2 linked regions of the Elephas maximus indicus genome follow. The protein of the gene in region 1 purifies or fractionates together with the protein of each later gene. This does not show direct contact. Links are inferred from orthologs where the notes say so. Each region holds a gene or a part of one and is shown on either strand. Other genes may lie near its edges.

What was found. The genes of interacting proteins can lie anywhere in the genome.
Region 2: the proteins of USP18 (region 1) and STAT2 purify together in Homo sapiens (affinity purification with western blotting; 6 studies listed by BioGRID and IntAct, with this or other methods). This does not show direct contact. The link is inferred for Elephas maximus indicus from reciprocal best matches to the Homo sapiens genes USP18 and STAT2.

Annotation. Positions count from the first base shown.
Region 1 is NC_064822.1:54,743,155-54,753,236, forward strand, and holds the start of USP18 (ubl carboxyl-terminal hydrolase 18), read right to left. Parts: upstream 4,006-10,082; 5' UTR 3,792-4,005; intron 291-3,791; exon of another isoform or gene 146-290; intron 1-145. UniProt on the Homo sapiens protein: Interferon-induced ISG15-specific protease that plays a crucial role for maintaining a proper balance of ISG15-conjugated proteins in cells. Regulates protein ISGylation by efficiently cleaving ISG15 conjugates linked via isopeptide bonds.
Region 2 is NC_064822.1:116,324,081-116,334,673, forward strand, and holds the start of STAT2 (signal transducer and activator of transcription 2), read right to left. Parts: upstream 4,733-10,593; 5' UTR 4,667-4,732; coding exon of another isoform or gene 4,530-4,666; intron 4,371-4,529; coding exon of another isoform or gene 4,257-4,370; intron 1-4,256. Other genes in the region: APOF (apolipoprotein F), read right to left, coding at 4,257-4,370, 4,530-4,666, 4,807-4,968, 5,796-6,615. UniProt on the Homo sapiens protein: Signal transducer and activator of transcription that mediates signaling by type I interferons (IFN-alpha and IFN-beta).

The DNA.
Region 1 (10,082 bases):
AAGGAAGTTGAATTTTCAAACTCAACCTCTGACTCAAAAATATGGCCCCAAAATACTAAACTGACTTAGCTCCCACCTTCCTGAATTTTCTACCCTTAAAACCAGGGGGAGATGTAAACGACGGAAGCAGCTGAGGCAGGCTCACCACCATCGTAGCTACAGAATCACTCTTCACAGCAAAAGGCCAGGGGACGTGATGCAGGAAAACTGAGGTGGTCCCAGTCTCTAACTGGACTCTTCACTCACAACTAGACTCTCTGCAGGATAAACCAGCTCCGACCTTAAATGCCCTAAGAAGAACAAAATTAACATGCCAGGAACATGCTTGCAGCAGTCTCGCTGTCTTCCAAATCCAACCCCCATCACGTAAAAAACAAACTCTGACCTGATTCTTAGTCATGTGTTCACATTTGAGTAATGGTAATAGGCTGGGCACACAGATTAGAATATTCCAGATGAAACCCAAAATAATAGGGAATCCCGAAGCTACAGCCCATTTGGAAGAGATTAGGACTTACTGTCTTTAAGAGTGTTTACATTAAACATTTTCCCCTTTGAAGACCATCACTGTGTAAAAGTGCAAGACTGTGCAAGGTATTTTCTAACAGTGGAAAAAAAAAAAACACCAAAAAGTTTGCCTTTTTTTCCCCTAATTTCTTTGACACCAGTTGTCATCAAGTCAGTTTTGACTCATGGCAACCCTATGTGTGTCAGAGCAGAACTGTGCCCCATAGTTTTCAATGGCTGATTATTCTGAAGTAGATCACCAGGCCACTCTTTCAAGGCACTTCTGGGTAGACTTGAACCTGCAACTTTTCAGTTAGCAGCCAAGTGCACTGTACTACCCAGGGACTCCTTATTCTTTGATAACCAAACCCAAAACCAAACACAATGCCATCAAGTCGATTCCAAAAAAAAAAAAAATTTTTTTTTTTTATAGGACAGAGTAGAACTGCCCCAGAGGGTTTCCAAGGAGCAGCTGGTGGATTTGAATTACTGACCTTTTGGTTAGCAGCCATATCACCTAACCACTGTGCCACCAGGGTTTCCCATTCAAAACAAGATAGAGATGCAGACCCTGTGTTAATCTCCTATCCATTTTGAGCTCAGTGGTTATGAACACTTTAGCTTATCAGAAATGTGCCCAGTTCTCACTCACCATCAGAGGTCTGCCTGCCTGTTTCCCTTGCTACATTAGCATTTTATGGCGACATTTTAAGTAAAGGAGTTGAGCTTTTCATTTGTAATATTTCATTTATTGTATAAGGAATCCTTGTTTCAATTTTAGTATTGCCTCTGACGGCTTCCTTAAATTGTGTCCTACTCAAATAGTTGAGAAGAAATTCTGGGAAAAAAGTTAAATATCTGATGCCAACATCTGGTTTTATTTTGTATTTGCTATTATCATTATTCATTCCGACCATTATTCCATATCCAGTTACTTTGGAATGATTAGAAAACATACAGAATCTGGTTGTTTTTCAGCCTGGGTTGGGTTGGAGAGTTAGGTGAGGACCAGACCTTGCAGGGCTTTCGGCCAGAGTACAGATTTCTGATGCTGTGCTAAAAGCAGCGGGAGACCACTGAAGGTTCCTGAACAGGGATACCACACAATTAGGTGTGCTTTTTAAAAAAAGACCACGTTGGCTCTGGAATTTAGAAACTGGATTCACTACTGTCTGAGGAGTTAAAGTATTATCTCAAACTAAAATCAAAGTGATCAAAGTTGAAGGACAATTCTTAATTTGGTAACCTGAAAATAAATACTATTTGTGTCTCTGTGATTATTTCACCTGTTCAAAGAATCAAAGGCGGACCGGATCGACTGGATGGGAAGGCTGGCTTGGAGCGTTTCTGAAGGACCCTCCATGGAATGGGACTGTGATTCTTGGGTGCATTTGGGATTTCCACTCATGGGTGAGGTGCCCCAGTTAAACCTTTCTCATTTGTCTTCCCCCCAAAAGTCTCCACCCCACACACACACACACACACACACAAAAACCATCCCATAGTGACTGGAAAATTAGGCAGGAAAAGAAGAAAAATTTAAAAAGCTACCCCAGAACTACTAAAAATATCATATTAAAAAAATGTAATGAGGAAACCCTGGTGGTGTAGTGGTTAAGTGCTACAGCTCCTAACCGAAAGGTCAGCAATTTGAATCTGCCAGGCGCTCCTTGGAAACTCTATGCGGCAGTTCTACTCTGCCCTATAGGGTCGCTATGAGTCAGAATCGACTCCACGGCAGCGGGTTGGGTTGGGTTTTTTAATTACTCATAGGTCCAGGTAAGGGGCCCTGGTGGTGCAGTGGTTAAAGCTCGTCACTCCTAACCAAAAGGTCGCGGTTCAAATCCACCAGCCACTCCACAGAAAAAAGATGTAGCAGTCTGCTTCCATAAAGATTTACAGCCTTGGAAACCATATGAGGCAATTCTACTCTGTCCTACAGGGTCACTATGAGTTGGAATTGACTCGACAGGAATGGGTTTTTTGATTTACAAGTCCAGATGACACATTAAAATTAAAGTGCAAAAATGTGATAAATTATTCAAATAATTCAATCATTAATAACTACTTTCCTCAGAAATGGAAGCAAAAGTGAGGAGGGAGGATGTTTGCATTACCTAGATGGCCGATTAAATCCTCTGCTCCACTCTGTATACTACAATAGCAAAAAGAAAACATCACATGAATTTTTAAAAATGTTTTCAAATATCTGCCTCATTTTCTTGCAGGATTTCAAAGTATAGCTACCTCAACGCTGTTAAGAAGTTAAAGCCTCTGTTTTAATTGTCAAACACTTTGAACCCTAGATTTTTAGAGGACATAGAATGGAGTCTTATGTTTGTCTCAAGGTCTAAATTTGGCTCTTTTCCAGGAAAAAAAAAATTGGAGTGAGCAGAGGAATTAAGGACAAATTACTCTGATTTGCACAATTTGACAGAATAGTTGAAATTTCTCAATACTATGCCTATGAACTCAGTAATTCCACTTCTAGGAATTGCCCACAAATAGATTTGTACATTTGCGTGGATGTATACATAAAACGTGGAAGCCCTGGTGGCGTGGTGGTTAAGTGCTACAGCCGCTAACCAAAATGTCGGCAGTTCAAATCCACCAGATGCTCCTTGGAAATCCTATAGGGCAATTCTACTCTGTCCTATAGGACTGCTATGAGTCGTAATGGACTTGACGGCAATGGGTTTGGTTTTTGGTTTTGGGTACATAAAACGATATTCACTGTTGCATCACTTATACCAGTAAAAACTGGAAACAACCTAAAAATCTACCAACCATTTAACAGATTATGTACTTCCCATATTATACAGAAGTTTAAAATAAAATGAGGTTGGCCTTTCTATATGTCCTGCCATGAAAAGATACCCATAATATACTGTTAAGTAGAAAAAACAAATTACAAAGCAATGTTACAGAATGACCTCACTTTGATTTTCAAAGACTTGGGCACAGGAGAATACCTAGAAAAGTACACATACATGACAGAGTTGAAGATTTAAAGTTTTGTTTCTCCTTTATATTTTGTCTACGTTGCTTGAATTTTTTATGAGCACGCAAAACTTTTTTTTTTTTTTAAGTAAAACACAAAGTCACGCAAGAAGCCCAAATAAATATATTAGTCTGGGGGAAAAAATACATAGGCTCAATATGTCCATGTAATAAACACACACCGTTATTACAAAAGAGCCCAGATACATTCATTAATTACCCAGATGGCATCTGAACTGAGTGTCAAGGGATGTCTTTTCTGGAAAGAAAGCTTCCAAAATTACCATCAAACTTGCCTCAAGTGCCACGAAAACGCCAAGCCTCCGCTGTTAAGCTCGATTCTTGGAACGCAGAGAAGGTTTCTCTTTGCCCGGTCCCCTACGAGCTCTGGCAGAGCAGGACCGAGCAGGGCGAGGAGCGCGGAGCCCTTGTCCGGAACGGGCTGGGCGGCGCCGTCCGCCCCTGGCCGAGTCTGCCTTTCGTCTGCCGCGCTCCTGGCCGAGTCTGCCTTTCGTCTGCTCGGCCCCGTCGCGCCGCCCGTGCTGCCTCCGCCCGCGCGCCGCCCCGTGGGCCGCAGCCCCTCGGCTTTCGTTTCCCACAGAATGGAAAGTGAAACTCAGCCCGAGGCTGGCCGCGCGGGCCCGGATTCTGGCCGAAAGTGAGGGGCGAGAGTGGCGTCGCAGGTGAACACCGGAGACGAGTCATCAGTGCGTATCTGGTACATCTGTGTTGTGTGTTTTAGCGTGTAAAGATGTGTACTATGTTTTGAATACTTGCCGTTTGTCGACAATTCCAAGAATAGATGCCTCTTCTGCCATCGTAAGATCTATGCAATTGGGATGAATCTTACAATCGTTTGGCATTTCATAGGATAAATGGCAGCGTATCTTTCTTTCTTAATGCTATAATATAATTTCTTAAATTGTGTATCTTAAAACCGGTGGCTTGTAGAATCAGTGAAATAGGCCACATATGTGTAAAGTCCTTATCCTGTTTCTCTCTTGCTCTGCAGGAGCCCACAGAGGTGGGTCCACATGGTGAGTGGTGGAGCAAAAGGGGGAAAAAAAGTGGATTTTGGATCGAAAGTTGGAGCTATTCTTGTGGATTCATGATTCTCAATAGGTATATAGAGATAAATGCAGAGGTGAACATGTAACTTATAATGAGAACGCCTAACATTTACTGGTGACCTGCGAAATGCCAGGCTCTCTACGAAACTCTAAACCTACCTTAATCTATACAACAGCCTCTTGATGTAGGCCCTATTTTTATTCCAATTTTATAAGAAAGAATATTAAATTTTAAAGAGGTTAAATGACTTGCCCAAGGTCATGCAAGATTGTAAGCGGTGGGCCAAGATTCCAAAAGGGATTTGACTCCCGAACCACTGTTTACACCTCTGATTTCACTCCTTAATAGAAAATGAGAGATCTGTGTCATTAGGAGCTCTCCAGATGGGCATGCAGATACATATAAGGCTAAAGAATCTGTGGCACGCACACATGAAAGGCTTGTTACCTCTGTAGAGATGTAGTTCAGGCATGTAGACTCTTGGGGTGGGGGTGGCAGGATTATCTGCCAGGGCCTCTGTCTAGCTCAAGAGGGGCTCTGATTCCGGCTACTGAACATTGGTAAATTCGTGCAGGAAAGTGAAGTGACATCTCCTCACAAGTGCTTATCCTTTCTGAAATCCATACACACAGCACAGGCCAAATGTGAGGGTGAGAGGATGGCTGCAGGGATGAGAGGCCTCAGAAACCCAAAGCTGCCAGAACCTCACTAAGGTGTCAGCACAGTCTGCAGAAAAGTACATAATCTGTTCAAAATATAATGACATAGAGATAGGCAAATGTGTCCATAATGTGTGTGGCTGCATGTGTGTTAAAATCATGAGCACAAGCACATACATACATGCTATACACATATATCTGTGTGAGTGCATGTATACCCTGTCACATACACTAAAGCTCCCCCTTCCTTGCCGTCTGAAGAGAAGGCAGTATAATGTACAGGGCATAGCACGGCGTATCCTCTCTGGAATGCTGGTTGGGAGTACACAGCATGGTATTTACACAGTACACAACAGTGTACATAGAGTAGGTCACTGTTATGGATTGAACTGTGTCCCCAAACGTGTTGTGAATCCTAATTTCTATGGCTGTAGTTATAATCCCATTTGGGAATGGGTTGTCTTTGTTCTGTTAATGAGACAGGATTAGTGTAGGTGTGTCTTGAGTCAATCTCTTTTGAGATATAAAAGAGCTTAAACAAGGAAGCAAGAGAAACAGATGGGGGAAGGGAGATGCCAAGCCACGTAGAAAGATTGAGCAGAAGCTCAGTAGAGCCGAGGGCCTTCTCCTATAGAGAGAAAGCCTTCTTCTAGGACCGGCACTCTGAATTTGGACTTTTAGCCTCCAAAATTGTGAAAAAACAAATTTCTGTTTGTTAAAGCCACCCACTTGTGGTATTTCTAGACTGTATTTCTATATAGTCCTCAGTATATTTGCTGACGGATGAATTTCTTTAACCAATTTAATGTAATTGTTAAAAGCCTTCTTGATAAACCAAAAAACAAACCCATTGCCCTTGAATCGATTCCGACTCCTAGCGATCCTATAGGACAGAGTAGAACTGCCCCATAGGGTTTCCAAGGCTGTAAATCTTTACAGAAGCCAACTGCCACATCTTTCTCCAATGGAGCAGCTCGTGGGTTTGAACTGCCAAACTTTCAGATAGCAGCCAAGTGCATAATCACTGTACCAGCAGGAACCTCTAAAACTCAGGTGGGGGGCATGGGAAGAGGATGTTGCAAAATTTTATGCAGTTTGCTAAATACTTCAAGTCAGTAAAATTCAAAGGAACAAGTTGTATTTGTTCTCAGTGATTCCTGTTGTTGTTAGTTGCCGTCCAGCCGCTCCAAATGGTGACGTTATATGTAACAGAACTAAGCATTGCCTGGTCCTGAGCCATGTTAATGATCCTTGGTATGTTTGAGCTCACTGTTGCAGCTAATGTATCGATCCATCCCACTGAGGGTTTCTCTTTCATTCTCTGCCCCTCTACTTTACCAAACATGATGTTCTTCAGTGATTATTAGCATATGGCTATTTCTAATGAATCAATTCATTCTATTTAAATCTTGGTAGTGCCGTGGAGAAAATTAATTGGCATTGCAGCCCCAGTTCAGAATGGGCAAGGGTCAACCTTGGGCTTTAGACTGGACTACATAATGTGAGGGTCCATTACAATTATTATGGGGCGCTTCCTCTTCCCCTTACCTTTGCTTACCTTACAGAACCATTCAGTGCTAAAGCCATTTATTTAATGGGTCAAGCAAAATAAATGTCCACACCGTAGGGTTCCCCAGTGGCCCAGAGCAGAGTGTTAGCGAGCAAGCAAGGTAAGAAGTGCATCTACATGGAAGGGCTGCCTGAGCAGGGTTTTTGGGCCCCAAACAGGTTACAGAGGGTGTCCACATGTGGTGGTAATGGTGAGTAGTCAGAGACAAAGCTTTATGAGGGCTTAAAAAGGTGCCCACACGGGAAGGCAGCCCAGCACAGGGTATTGGAGCCTGAGCAAGGTAAGGAGAACATCCAAATGAGGGTTAGGGGACAGAAGTCTGAGTACGGTGTCAGAGCCCAAGCAGGGTGAGAAGGGCATCCAAGTAGGAGGGCTGCCTAGCATTGGCTATCAGAACCTAAATGAGATGAGGAGAGTGTCCATGTAAGGGGCAGAATGGCCTGGGGTGTCAGAGCCAAAGTGGTTTGAGGAGGGCTTCTATGTGGCAGGTGGTATAGTGTTTGGTGTTGGTGCATAGGCAGGGTGAGGAGGACATCCGTGGAGGGGAGGTGGGGGGAGTAGAGGTGAGAGACTGGTCATGTACAGAGGGATTGATCAAATAGGCAAATATATTAAGGATAATTGGAGCTAGGTTTATCACTGTTGGGAAACCCTCGTGGCATAGCGGTTGAGAGCTACAGCTGCTAACCAGAAGGTCAGCAGTTCGAATCCACCAGGCGCTCCTTGGAAACCCTATGGGGCAGTTCTACTCTGTCCTGTAGGGTCACTATGAGTCAGAATCGACTCAACAGCAACAGGTTTTTTTTTAATGGGTTTTATCACTGTCAGAGAGGGATTTACAAATATAGACAGGGAAAATGAGCCCTGTGTTGGGCTGAAAATTGGAGCTATTCGTGTGGATCCGTGATTTTCAGTAGGCATATAAAGAAATACAGAGGTAAGCATGTATATACATACATATATTCCCTAGGTCTGTTCATTGAGAGGTCTTGGGAACAATGACATCCCAATAGCAGTGAGCACATCCAATACCCGGATCTTGCCTTCTAATTAACCATTCTCTAGTAAAAGGAAAGGAATTCCGGGCTGGTACAAACTAACCCAACCCCAGTGCCGTCGAGTCAATTCCGACGGACTCATAGCGACCCTATAGGACAAACTACTGACCAAAAAGTTGATGGTTTGAACCCACCAAGAGGCACCTCAGGAGACAGACCTGGTGACCTGCTTCTGGAAGATCGCAGCCTTGAAAACCCTATGTGGCAGTTCTATTCTGCTCATATGGGGTTGCCACGACTTGGAGTCAGTGGCAACTAACAGCACAACAGTAAAAGGAGCCAGAGTTGCTAAGAGAGATGGCTGTTTCCAAGGTTAGGAAAGGGAAAGTACAAGATGAGCCTAAAACATCTTGTTCTATCAGAAAAGAAGGAAATGCTCAAAGCGTGATAAGGGTGCATCAAAAATACCCAGAAGCCAGCTTGAAAGGGCTCCCAGTGGCCAAATCCAGAACAATTTAAGCATCAAAATAAATAATGATATTAAAATCAGGAGATTATAATTCATTAAGTAAATCAGGAAAACATATTTAAAAAAAAAAAAACCCATTGCCATCAAGTTAATTCCAACTCATAGCAACTCTGTAGGACCGATTGCCCCACAGAGTTTCCAAGGAGGGCCTGGTGGGTTTGAACTGCCTATATTCTGGTTAGGAGACGTCGCTCTTAACCACTGTACCTCCAGGGATTCCTGGGAAAACATAGTCCCTAACAATACGAATAATTGAATAAATTGAAAGTTTGAGGAGGAATAGAATATTTGCAGTTTCAAAGTACTTTCCTGCAAAATCCATGTTAATTACAAAGGGGAGAAGAGCACCTTCACAGTGGCAGACGCTGCCTTAATCACGTAATCAAAGGGGCCATCATCAGTGATAATACAAACTGAAACCCTTCCTGAGAGGACACAATGAAAAGAACATAGCATCGCTTCTGTGATATTCCTATCGAAGAAGCATAACCTGAGTCCAGTCATGAATCTGACCAACTCAGACTGAGGAACTGTCGGCTGGTCTGTAATGTTCAAAAGTGCCCAGGTCATGAAAGTCAAAGAAAGGGTAAGGAATTGTTCCAGACTGATGGAAATCAAAGAGATGATAACTAAATGCAACAGTAGTAGATTCTGAACTGTATTCTTTGCTCTAAACGATAATATTAGGACAGTTAGTGAAACTTAAATGGGGTCTGAAGGTTAAAAAAAAATTTTTTTTTTTTTTTTTTTTTTAGATGGTAGTAATTTAACACGAAAACTACTGGGGGTAATGACATGTTGGAAACTTACTCTCAAATCATTCAAGAAAAAAGTTTTTGTGCTGTACTTGCAGCTTTTCTGCAAGTTTGATATTGTTTTACATTTCTTTAATGTAAAAAAAAATATTATGGATGCTTTTTATCTGGAGATCATTTACAAAAGTATGCTAGTTGAACACATTGGTTAAAAAGGTTTTCAACACCATGCATCAAAGAGTTTAAATTGAAACTGCATAAACTTTGTTTCAAAACAAAGCTTGGGCCCTGAAGTATTTTCTGCAGCTTGCACAATATTTCTGCTTATTTAGGATAGTTTCAATGTCACTCGAACTCTCACTGGCTGAATTTCTTACTCTTTTTTTCTTTTTTAAATTTGAAGTGTGGAGCAAGAAGCTACACTTGACTGCCTCACTTGAAAATTCTGCCTAAAAACTCAGTCACAAAGATGTCTGGCTGACTTTATGGAATAATCTAGTTCTCCTTCACAGTGAAAAGCTACTTCAGGAAAAAGCTGTTCCAAAGTGAGGAACAGTTTATAGAAACTGATGCTAATTTTTGTACAGGGGAAAGGGCACGTTTTATTGCATGGGGTAATGGCAAGAACAAAAAGAATTATTAATAAAATATTTGTGCTTATTTACAAAGTTCATTTCTCTATAGACACATATGGCTTCATGTGATTTGTCTTTCATTCCTTCTCCACAAGTCTCTCCTGCTTATTTTCCCCTCTGCATTTTGTCAAGATAAGTTTTTTTTTAATTCTACTATATATTTGTATACTGCCAAAAATAAACAATAAATTGGCTTTTAAGGTCTGTAAATTGAATCCCCATCACAGTATTCTTTTGGGTAAATACATTCTCCTAAGAAGGAGAGAGTTTTGATAAGTTGAAGCAGCAAAAAGAACTCTAAGTTTCATTTTCCTGGCGTTGGCTTCAAGATGTAACTACCTTCTCAGTCATTCTTCAG
Region 2 (10,593 bases), about 62 Mb from region 1:
CTGGTAACCACTAATAACCTTTGGTCTCTATGCTGTTGTTGTTGTTAGGTGCCGTCGAGTCAGTTCTGACTCACAGTGACCCTATGTACAACAGAACAAAACACTACCCAGTCCTGCACCATATTCACAATCATTGTTATGCTTGAGCCCACTGTTGCAGCCACTCTGTCAAACCATCTCATTGAGGGTCTTCCTCTTTTTCCCTGACCTTCTACTTTACCAAGCATGAAGTCCTTCTCCAGGGACTGATCCCTCCTGATAACATGTCCAAAGTATGTGAGATGAAGTCTCGCCATCCTTGCGTCTAAGGAGCATTCTGGCTGTACTTCTTCCACAACAGATTTGTTCCTTCTTTTGGCACTCCGTGGTATATTCAATATTCTTCACCAACACCATAAATCAAAGGTATCAATTCTCCTTTATCTTTCTTATTTATTGTCCAGCTTTCACATGCATATGAGGCAAATGAAAACATCATGGCTTGGGTCACCCGCGCGCCTGAGTCCTCAAAGTGACATATTTGCGTTTTAACACTTTAAAGAGGTCTTTTACAGCTGATTTGCCCAGTGTAATGTGTCATTTGATTTCTTGACTGCTGCTTCCATGAGTGTTGATTGTGGATTCAAGTAAAATGAAATCCTTGACATCAATCTTTTCCCCATTTATCATGATGTTGCTCACTGGTCCAGTTGTGAGGATTTTTGTTTTCTTTATGTTGAGGTGTAATCCATACTGAAGGGTGTAGTCTTTGATCTTCATCAGTAAATGCTTCAAGTCCTTTTCAGTTTCAGCAAGCAAGGTTGTGTTATCTGCATAATGCAGGTTATTAATGAGTCTTCTTCCAATCCTAATGCCATGTTCTTCATTACACAGTCCAGTTTCTCACATTATTTGCTCAGCATACAGATTGAATAAGTATGGTAAAATGATACAACCCTGACGTACACCTTTCCTGACTTTAAACCACAAGTATCCCCTTGTTCTGTCCAAACGACTGCCTCTTGATCTATGTACAGGTTCCACATGCGCATAATTAAGTGTTCTGGAATTCCCATTCTTCACAGTGTTATCCATAATTTGTTATGATCCACATAGTCAAATGCCTCTGCAGAGTCAATAAAATGCAGGTAAACATATTTTTGGTCTTCTCTGCTTTCAGCCATGATCCATCTGATATCAGCAATGATATCCCTCATTCCACGCCCTCTTCTGAATCCAACTTGACTTTCTGGCAGTTCCCTGTCGATATACTGCTGCAGCCACTTTTGAATGATCTTCAGCAAATCTTTACTTGTGTGTGATATTAATGATATTGTTTGATAATTTCCTCATTCCATTGGATCACTTTTCTTTGGAATAGGCATAAACAGGGATCTCTTCCAGTTAGTTGGCCAGGGAGCTGTCTTCCAAATTTCTTGGCATAGATGAGTGAGCACTTCCAGCCCTGCATCCGTTTGTTGAAACATCTCAATTGGTATTTTGTCAATTCCTGAAGATTTGTTTTTCGCTAATACCTTCAGTACAGCTGGGACCTCTTCCTTCAGTACCATCAGTTCCTGATCATATGCTACCTCCTGAAATGGCTGAATGTCAACCAATTCTTTTTGGTATAGTGACTCTGTGTATTCTTTCCAACTTCTTTTGATGCTTCCTGCATTATTTAATATTTTCCCCATAGACTCTTTCAATATTGCAACTCAAGGCTTGAATTGTTTCTTCAGTTATTTCAACTTGAGAAACGCCGAGCATGTTCTTCCCTTTTGGTTTTCTAACTTCGGGTCTTTGCGCATGTCATTATAATACTTTGTCTTCTCGAGATGCCCTTTGAAATCTCCTGTTCAGCTCCTCATCACTTCTTCTGTTTGTTTTAGCTACTGGACACTCAGGAGCCAATTTCAGCATCTCTTCTGACATCCTTTTTGGTCTTTTCTTTCTTTCCTGTCTTTTTAATGACCTCTTGGTTTCTTCATGTATGATGTCCTTGATGTCATTCCACAAATTGTCTGGTCTTTGATCATTAGTGTTCAACATGTCAAATCTATCCTTAGAAAGGTCACTAAATTTAGGTGGGATATACTCAAGGTCATACTTTGGCTCTTATGGACTTGTTCTAATTTTCTTCAGCTTCAACTTGAACTTGCATAGGAGCAATTGATGGTCTGTTCCGCAGTCAACCCTGGCCTTGTTCTAACTGAGGATATTGAGCTTTTCCATCGTCTCATTCCACAGATGTACTCAATTTGATCCCTGTGTATTCCACCCAGCAAGGTCCACATGTATAGTCGCCATTTATGTTGGTGAAAGAAGGTATTTGCAATGAAGAAGTCATTGGTCTTGCAAAATTCTATCATGCAATCTCCAGTGTGTTGTTTCTACCACCAAGGCCCTATTTTCCAACTACCAATCCTTCTTCTTTGTTTCCAACTTTTGCTTTTCAATCACCAGTAATTATCAACGCATCCTGATTGCATGTTCGATCAATTTCAGACTGCAGAAGATGGTAAAAATCTTCAATTTCTTCATCTTTGGCCTTGGTGGCTGGTGCATAAATTTGAATATTAGTCGTGTTAACTGATCTTCCTTGTAGGTATATGGATATTATCATTGATAGTGCTGTACTTCAGCATAGGTCTTGAAATGTTCTTTTTGACTATGAATGCAACACCATTCCTCTTAAAGTCGCCATTCACAGCATAGTAGACTATATGATTGTCCAACTCAAAACGGGCATGCCAGTCCATTTCAGCTCACTAATGCCTAGGATATCAATGTTTATACATTCCATTCCATTTTTGACAATTTCCAATTTTCCCAGATTCATACTTTGTACATTCCACGTTCTGATTATTAACGAATGTTTGCAGCTGTTTCTTCTCATTTTGAGTCAGCAAATGAAGGTCCAGAAAGCTTGACTCCATTCATGTCATTAAGGATGACTCTAGTTTGAGGAGGCGGCTCTTTTCCAGTCGTCTTTTGATTGTTTTCCAACCCTGGGGGCTCATCTTTCAGCACTGTATCAGACAATGTTCTGCTGCTATTTATAAGGTTTTCACTCGCTAACTCTTTTCAGAAGTAGACAACCAGTCCTTCTTCCTAGTCTGTCTTAAGCCTGGAAGCTCAGCTGAAACCTGTATGCTATGGGCAACCCTGATGGTATTTGAATACCAGTGGCATAGCTTCCAGCATTACAACAACACACAAGCCCCTACAGTACAACAACAAACTGACAGATGCTTGGTCTCTGTACATTAGCCTGTTCTAGCTATTTCAAATAAGTGGGATAAGTATTTGTCCTTTTCTGACTGATTTACTTCACTCAGCATAATGTTTTCAATCTAAAAACCTTCTACGACCTCTGTTAATCTCCGATTCTCAACGTGAATTATCAACTTTGTGAATAACCCAGAAATTTCACTAAAAACTGGCTTTTTCTGTCACCAAGCAGGCTGGGTCGTACATCTTTCTTCCCACCTTTTCCTGTCCACTGCATCTGATGTCTTTTTGGTGAACTACAACTTATTCTTGTTGCAGCCTAAGCCTAACAAAATAGAATAAAGCAAGCCCATCTGTGATCTAAAAAGTCATATGATTTTATTACAAGGCAAGGAAAAATGTTTGAGATGGGAGAGATTCTCCTCCACCAGCATGAATCAGCTGCCATTCTACCTTGTAAATAGGTACAGGGAAGGGGAGGGACTGAGCAGGGGCTCCTATTTTTCATTTTAACCCTTTTAGCAGTGCTTGACTTTTTTTTTTTTATTAATTTGACTGTGGTAAAATATACATAACAAAAAAATTGCCATTTTAACAACTTTTTGTGTACAATTCGGTGACATCAGTTATGTTCACCAAGTGCTTGGCTTTTTAAACTATGTACCTGCATTACTTTTAAGAAAGAAAATATGAAGAGTTTTCAGTTCTCAAGGAAGTAATCAGCTGAAATTAAAAGAGCAAGGCAGCCAGTAAACTAATTATGAAAGAAAACCTGGTCTCCCCATATGGACCGCAAACATTGTGAGGTGAAGGGCTGTTAACATTTTACTTTTCCTCCAATATCTCTCACTCTCTTAGGCACATATTTATGCTCAATAAGTTTTTCTAAAAGGAACGGAATTTTCTTTGTGGCCTTAGGCAAATCATTTCGCCTTTCTGTGCCTTATACTTTTTACGTAACAAATAAGGATAAACCGTATGCACTTTTGTACTTTTTTTTTGTGAGAATCAAAAATGATGCACACAAAAAATAATAATGCAGATCAGAAGGTAAAAGCGTTGGCTGAGACAGTGAACTTATGCAATAATGCCAGGTTCTGGGCCTCGGAGGCTGCAGGAGAATTGCAGGAGGGGGGCACTAGGGTTTGGGAGCTAGGCTGGACAAGAGCGGGAAATACAGGGCAGAGCAAGTGACGGCTCCTCTTTCAACCTCGGGACAGAAGCTGCCCCCTCCAGTGTGTAACCCCCATGGCTTCTCTCCCTTCGCAGGGAGGAATCCGTGCCCCCATCCCCTCCCGCCCTCTCAGAGCCGGTACCTGATTGGGGTCGCAGTCCCCGCTCCCACCGGTGGCTGTTGTCGAGGCCCCCCGTCCCCAGAGCGAGCTCTGCACCAGGACCTCCCGCCCAGTCGTCAGCTTCGGTCCAACCCTGCTTAGCGGGCTTCGGTGGGCGGCTGAACCCGGAACTCGCGATTCCCAGCCGGGCACCAGGACCCTAGCTGCCACTCAACCAAGCCCATCCTTGGCTCCCCTAGGCTGCGAGCTCATTGGTGCCGCCACAACTCCGCCCCCTCTGTGGGAACCGAAACCACACCTTCAGCTCCCGCGATTGGGGGGAAAGCTCGAGTAAGCCCCGCCCCGTACCCGCGGAGGGAAGGAATCCAATTAATGGAATAGCCCGAAACAGCTGATTTCCGAGAATCTGAGTCCCGGCCGCGGAAGCGAGACTGGCCCAGGACCCTGGGGGCTTTAAGGGCTGGGTACAAAGAGGTGGGACCGGAATTTCGGTGTTTAGAGGTTGGAGTCCTGGTGGCACAGTGGTTAAGAGTTCAGGCTGCCAGCCAAAAGGTCGGCAGTTTGAATCCACCGCCACTCTTTGCAAACCCTCTGTCCTCTAGAGTCACGAGGAGACAGCCCGAATCGACTTGATGGCAACGGGTTACCCTTTTACTGAGGGTGCCTTGCTAAGCACTTTAGATTCATTGTACCACTTCTCACTTCCACGGCAACCAATCGAGGTGAGAATCATTATCTCCATTTTAGAGATTGAAAAACTGAGCTTCGAAAAAGACGTTGCTTGTCAGTGATGACAGAAGCACAAACATGTGGAATCTGGATCCAAAGCCAAATCCTTAGACTCCAAATTCCAAACTTTTTGATTCCTACATTTTACAGCACTGCCTTCCTCCTGAATAATGAACCCGATATTTAGAATTTGATCACACACATAGAAATTGTCAGAATATTAGATTTATTCCTTCTGTTTGTTGTTGTGTGCCTTCCAGTTGATTCTTGACTCACAGTGACCCCCATGTGATAGAGTAGAACTGCCCCAGAGGGTTTTCTTGGCTGTAATCTTTAGGAAAGCAGATCCCACGAGCCACTGGGTGAGTTACAACCGCCAACCTTTTAGTTATCATTGCCCCACCAGGGCCCCTTTCTTCTGTGTCTACAACCTTCTTATAGCCCAAGACTCCCAGCCTCAGCGTCTAAGTAATGGATCTTGAGTGGGCCCCACCTCCCATGGGAAACTGAACTTAACTACCTCTGACACCTCTGAGGCCATAGTTGTTGTCCACCCACCAGACCACTCATATCTGTGATGCCCACTAAACTTTTCTCTAGTCTCTGGTTGGGGGGTGTTTGTCTCTTTCTCATAGTAATACTGGATCAACCTCTCAACCCCAACCTTCACTGCAGGCTTAAGTGCAGAGTTGATCAACAGTCCTGCTGGGCCCCCTGATAGCCCTGCCATGGTCACCAGAAGGTCATAACCCAGGTCTATGGCTCCATCTTGGCCTCGTTCCTTGGCCTTTTCCAAGCAGTTCTGAGCAGCATAGTACAAAGCTGAACCCAGGTTGTAGTAGGTTCCCACCATCGGCAACCAGCGGAGTACACTTTGCACACTCTGCTCCTGCTCCTGCTCACAGTCCTCGGTGGAGAGGAAGCGCCGGGCTCTGTCTGGGCCTGGCTGCTCCCTGGCCAGTAGCTGCACAGCAGAGATTAGGGCCTCCACTGATGCTTCACCCTGTATGCTTCCGCCTTTCTGGAGCCCTTGGAGATGGCGGTTGAGGAGCTGTGTGGCTTTCACACCTCCCAGGCGGTAGAGCTGACGCTCCACAGTCCAGGCATAAGTCTGGCAGCCAGCCTCCTCGAGGGCATTCCTCAGTGCCAGGCCTATCAGGAACCTGGGCAGAGGGGCCATGTGGGTGAAGCCAGGCAGGGACTTCGGGAGCAGTAGCTGGCAGAACAAGAAGTCTGAGGAGGGTGGCTGGGATCCCAAGGAGGTAAGGCGCATCGAGGCCTTTGTCTGGGTTCCATATGAAATGGCATCTACCACATGCAGCGGGAGGTAGCAAAGAAGCAGTGCAACTGGCATCATGACGAGCCTGAGGCCACCCATGCCTGGAACAGAGCACGCTGGAGTGAGAAGAAGCCCAAAACACCGAAAACATTTCCCTAAGTGCTGTGATCTGAAAGGAACCTAGGACTTGGGGGACCTCTCATCTATCACCTCCAAGCTTCTCTTCCTTTTAGATAAAGACCTAGGAAATGGGAAATGGGACCCAATTGTTCCCATCTGGCCTCCCCCATTTTCAGGTCACCAGGGGCTTCCTCTGCTTTACTTTCACCCACTTGTAAACCCAAAGTCAAACCCCTTGCCATCTAGTCAATTCCGACTCATGGCGACTCCATGTGTTACACAGTAGAACTCTGCTCCATAGAGTTTTCTTTTTTTTTTTTTTATAATTTTTATTGAGCTTTAAGTGAACGTTTACAAATCAAGTCAGTCTGTCACATATAAGCTTACATACACCTTACTCCATACTCCCACTTACTCTCCCACAATGAGTCAGCCCTTCCAGTCTGTCCTTTCGTGACAATTTTGCCAGTTTCTAACCCTCTCTACCCTCCTATCTCCCCTCCAGACAGGAGATGCCAACACAGTCTCAAGTGTCCACCTGATTCCATAGAGTTTTCTTGACTGTAATCTTTATGGAAACAGATTGCCAGGCCTTTCTTTCACAGTGCCACTGGGTGGGTTTGAACCACCAAACTTTAGGGTAGTAGCCAAGTGCTAATCATTTGCATCACCCGGGGACCTCCACCCACTTATAGGGGCCCCAGATTACCACACGGTCCAGTCATTGAGAAGTGACACTGCCCTGGTAGGTTTGGTTTGGTTGCTTCTCGGTCCTGTTCTGCCCAGTTGTGTATCCTGTGAGAAGGGGAGATATTTGCTTTCCCCTATGACCAGTTAGGGATGTAATCTCTACAAATATTTGCCCATTTGTACTGGTTGCACAAACCTTGTCCCCTTGTCACATACTCATCTTCAATACTGAAACCCCTGTCCTGTGGCATTTCCTACATATCCCTGCCACATGCCCACTTTAGTTCATAACAGAAGCCAGGGAGACCCAGAGTCAGGAGAGATTAGATGTCTATGATTCTCTTTTCAGCTTAAAAATTAAATAAGCTACAGCATTTAGCTGGGGGGATTTAGACAGTGCAGAGTAGATGAATGAGAAAAAGTTAAAATATTTCTCATGCCTAAAAAGCAATTACTGTTGAGTCAACTCTGACTAGTGGAAACCCCATGTGTGCCAGAAAAGAACTGTGCCCCATAGGGTTTTCAATGGCTGGTTTTTTGGAAGTAGATCGCCAGGCCCTTCTTCAGAGGTGCCTCTGGGTGGACTTCCACCTCCAAACTTTCGGTTAGTAGCCTAGCTCCTTAATGTTCGTACCACCCAGGGTCTCTGCCTGTCATGCCTAGAACTTATCAAATACACAATATTTGATGACTGAAAGCAAGAAAAAGAAAGAGAAGATGGGATAAGAAATAGGGGCTGGGACCTACTAGGAGGAGACACCAGTTACATGTGTCTTTTAGCACTGGAATGAAATGAAGAGGTATATCTGTCCTACTTTGTCTCTATCATTTCTAACTATCTGCTGTGTCCCCTTCCTGAACACAACCCTGAGGAAGGAGACTCATTACCTAGGTGGCATTACGTATCTGAGGTATACCTGAACAAACTCCTGACTCTATACTCCTATAAAGGCCTTCAGTATAGCTGTGGAATGTTTTTACAAAAAAAATAAACATTTTGTATCTAATCATCCATAGACAATGACAATAAGAGGTTCTTAATTTGGGGGCTTCTTCAGCCTTTTGCCTAATTCTTCGAAATTCTCCCAATACTCATACTTTAAGTTCTTGGTGGTGTTGACAGAGGGAGATTTGAACTATGGCACCAGCAACATGAGAGATAGCTCTTCAGCAAACTCAATTACCATCTGAAGTAAATGAGAGACCAACTACCCCAGTAGGTGTACTCTCCACTGTGAAATACTCCGCAGAGTGGACAGCTGAGTGCTGGGTTTACCCAGGCTCCCCTGGGAGTTCCCCCAAATCTGTCAGAACGAGCTCAGCATTGTCAATCTTTTCTTCCTCATTGAGCTTTTGAATCTCACAGATGAGGGTTACAGTGGTGTCCTTTCCTCCCATCTGAAATTGCTAAAACTGCAGAAGGTGGGCCTCAGCTGGGCAGCCAATCTCCTCCAGAGCCACCCTTAGAGCTACACTGGACAGGTACTCAGGCAAAGGGGCTGGAAGGGAGGAGAGAGGGCTTTGAGGAAGAGATTCCAGCAACTGATCTGTGAGAAGGACCTGGCCTGAGAGCATGTTTGGCAGAGGCCCCAGCTCTGTGTAAGATGGCTGGAAAATCAGGTCCCCATTCTGGACATTTTTTGGACAGGCAGCCACTGGAGACAGCAAGACACAGCAAAGGAGTGGCAAAGCTTGCACCATAGTGGAACAGCGGGAATAGCCTGCTGGAAAGAAGCAGTGCTCAGGTTGGAAGGTGGGGAAAGCCCTAGGGTGCTTTCTCTGAGGATAATGCAAGGGCTAAAAAACACCAGATGAGTAACAGTGAAGAAGTATCTCAGCCCTTGGAAACTCTGATTACCTTAAACACACCTCACCCTAGCACTTAGAGGCTGTGGGAGATCTTCATTGTTCTGAGGAAAACACAAGCCAGAGGAACAAGACAATCCAAATATCTTTTTTGCTTTAGTTTCTTTATACCTGTGTTTCGGATCCCACCAATTAAAGAAATATTACATTTAAGCAATTTACAACTATATTAATCACATATTATTCCATGATTAAAATTGATAATAAACATTACTAAGGATTCTGAATGGTCTGATACAGGAGGAGGTCCATGGTAGGGGATGACACCATGACTTACCACACTGGGTGACACCAACCCTAATGATGTAACTGTCTAAATCTACACCAAAACTCTAGGAATTGAGCTTTATCTGTTTTTTTTTTAAGGGTAACTCCAGTGCAAAATTTAGGGGAAGAAGGATCTGGTGGCTTCTAAATACAAATTCCCACATATTATTGTGTCATAAAGTTTCCTCTGGTGCTGTGATCTGCCTCTGTCAGACAGCCAAAGGGAACAACAGGCCAATGAAAGAGGTCCAGGATCCCTCCATTTCATTCACGTCTCAGGAGGGGCTCCTAACAACTAAGAGCAAAAGAAGAAGAAAGAAGAAGAGTAGGTCTCTAGGGGCACAGGGCCAAAACTGAAAGAAGCAAAAACTAGGTGCAAAGGAGTCCAGCACTACCTGAAATTAACCAGCTGCCACTGAGTTGACTCTAACTCATGGTGACCTCATGTGTGTCAGAGCAGGACTGTGCTCCATAGGGTTTTCAACGGTGGATTTTTTTTAGAAGCAGATCACCAGGACTTTCTTCCAAGGTGCCTCTGGGTAGACTTGAACCTCCAGTCTTTCAGTTAGCAATCAAGTGTGGTAACCATTTTCACCACCTAGGAACTCCCATTATTAACCATATACTTTATTAGGATTTCACTGGTTTTTCCACTAATGTCATTTTCCTGTTCCAGGATTCAATGCAGGATACCATATTGCATTCAAACTTTGTTTTCATTATGGCATTTTTCAAGTACACACAAAAATAAGGAGTCTAGGTTTTTTTTTTTTTAATACAATGACACCTCATATACCCTTTACCCAGCTTCAAAATCAAACTTTCTGTTGTTTATTTTTCAACCACCCCCTCATTTACTTATTTTAATTTAAGTAATTTATTTACTCATTTGTTTTTGCTGAGGGTATTTCAAGAAAAGTGTTGGCTTAAGTATTTATAACATCATAACCCCTACTGTCCCTAGATCTCTTCCAATGGCGGAAATCTGCTTGGGGATAAAGTAAGTGCTCTTAATATAGGGAGGAGGAACTCTGCTCTAAAAGAAGTCTAGATCTGTGCTGTCCAATATGGTAGTCATTAGCCACATGTGGCTATTTATTATATTAATTAAAATTAAATAACATAAAAACTCAG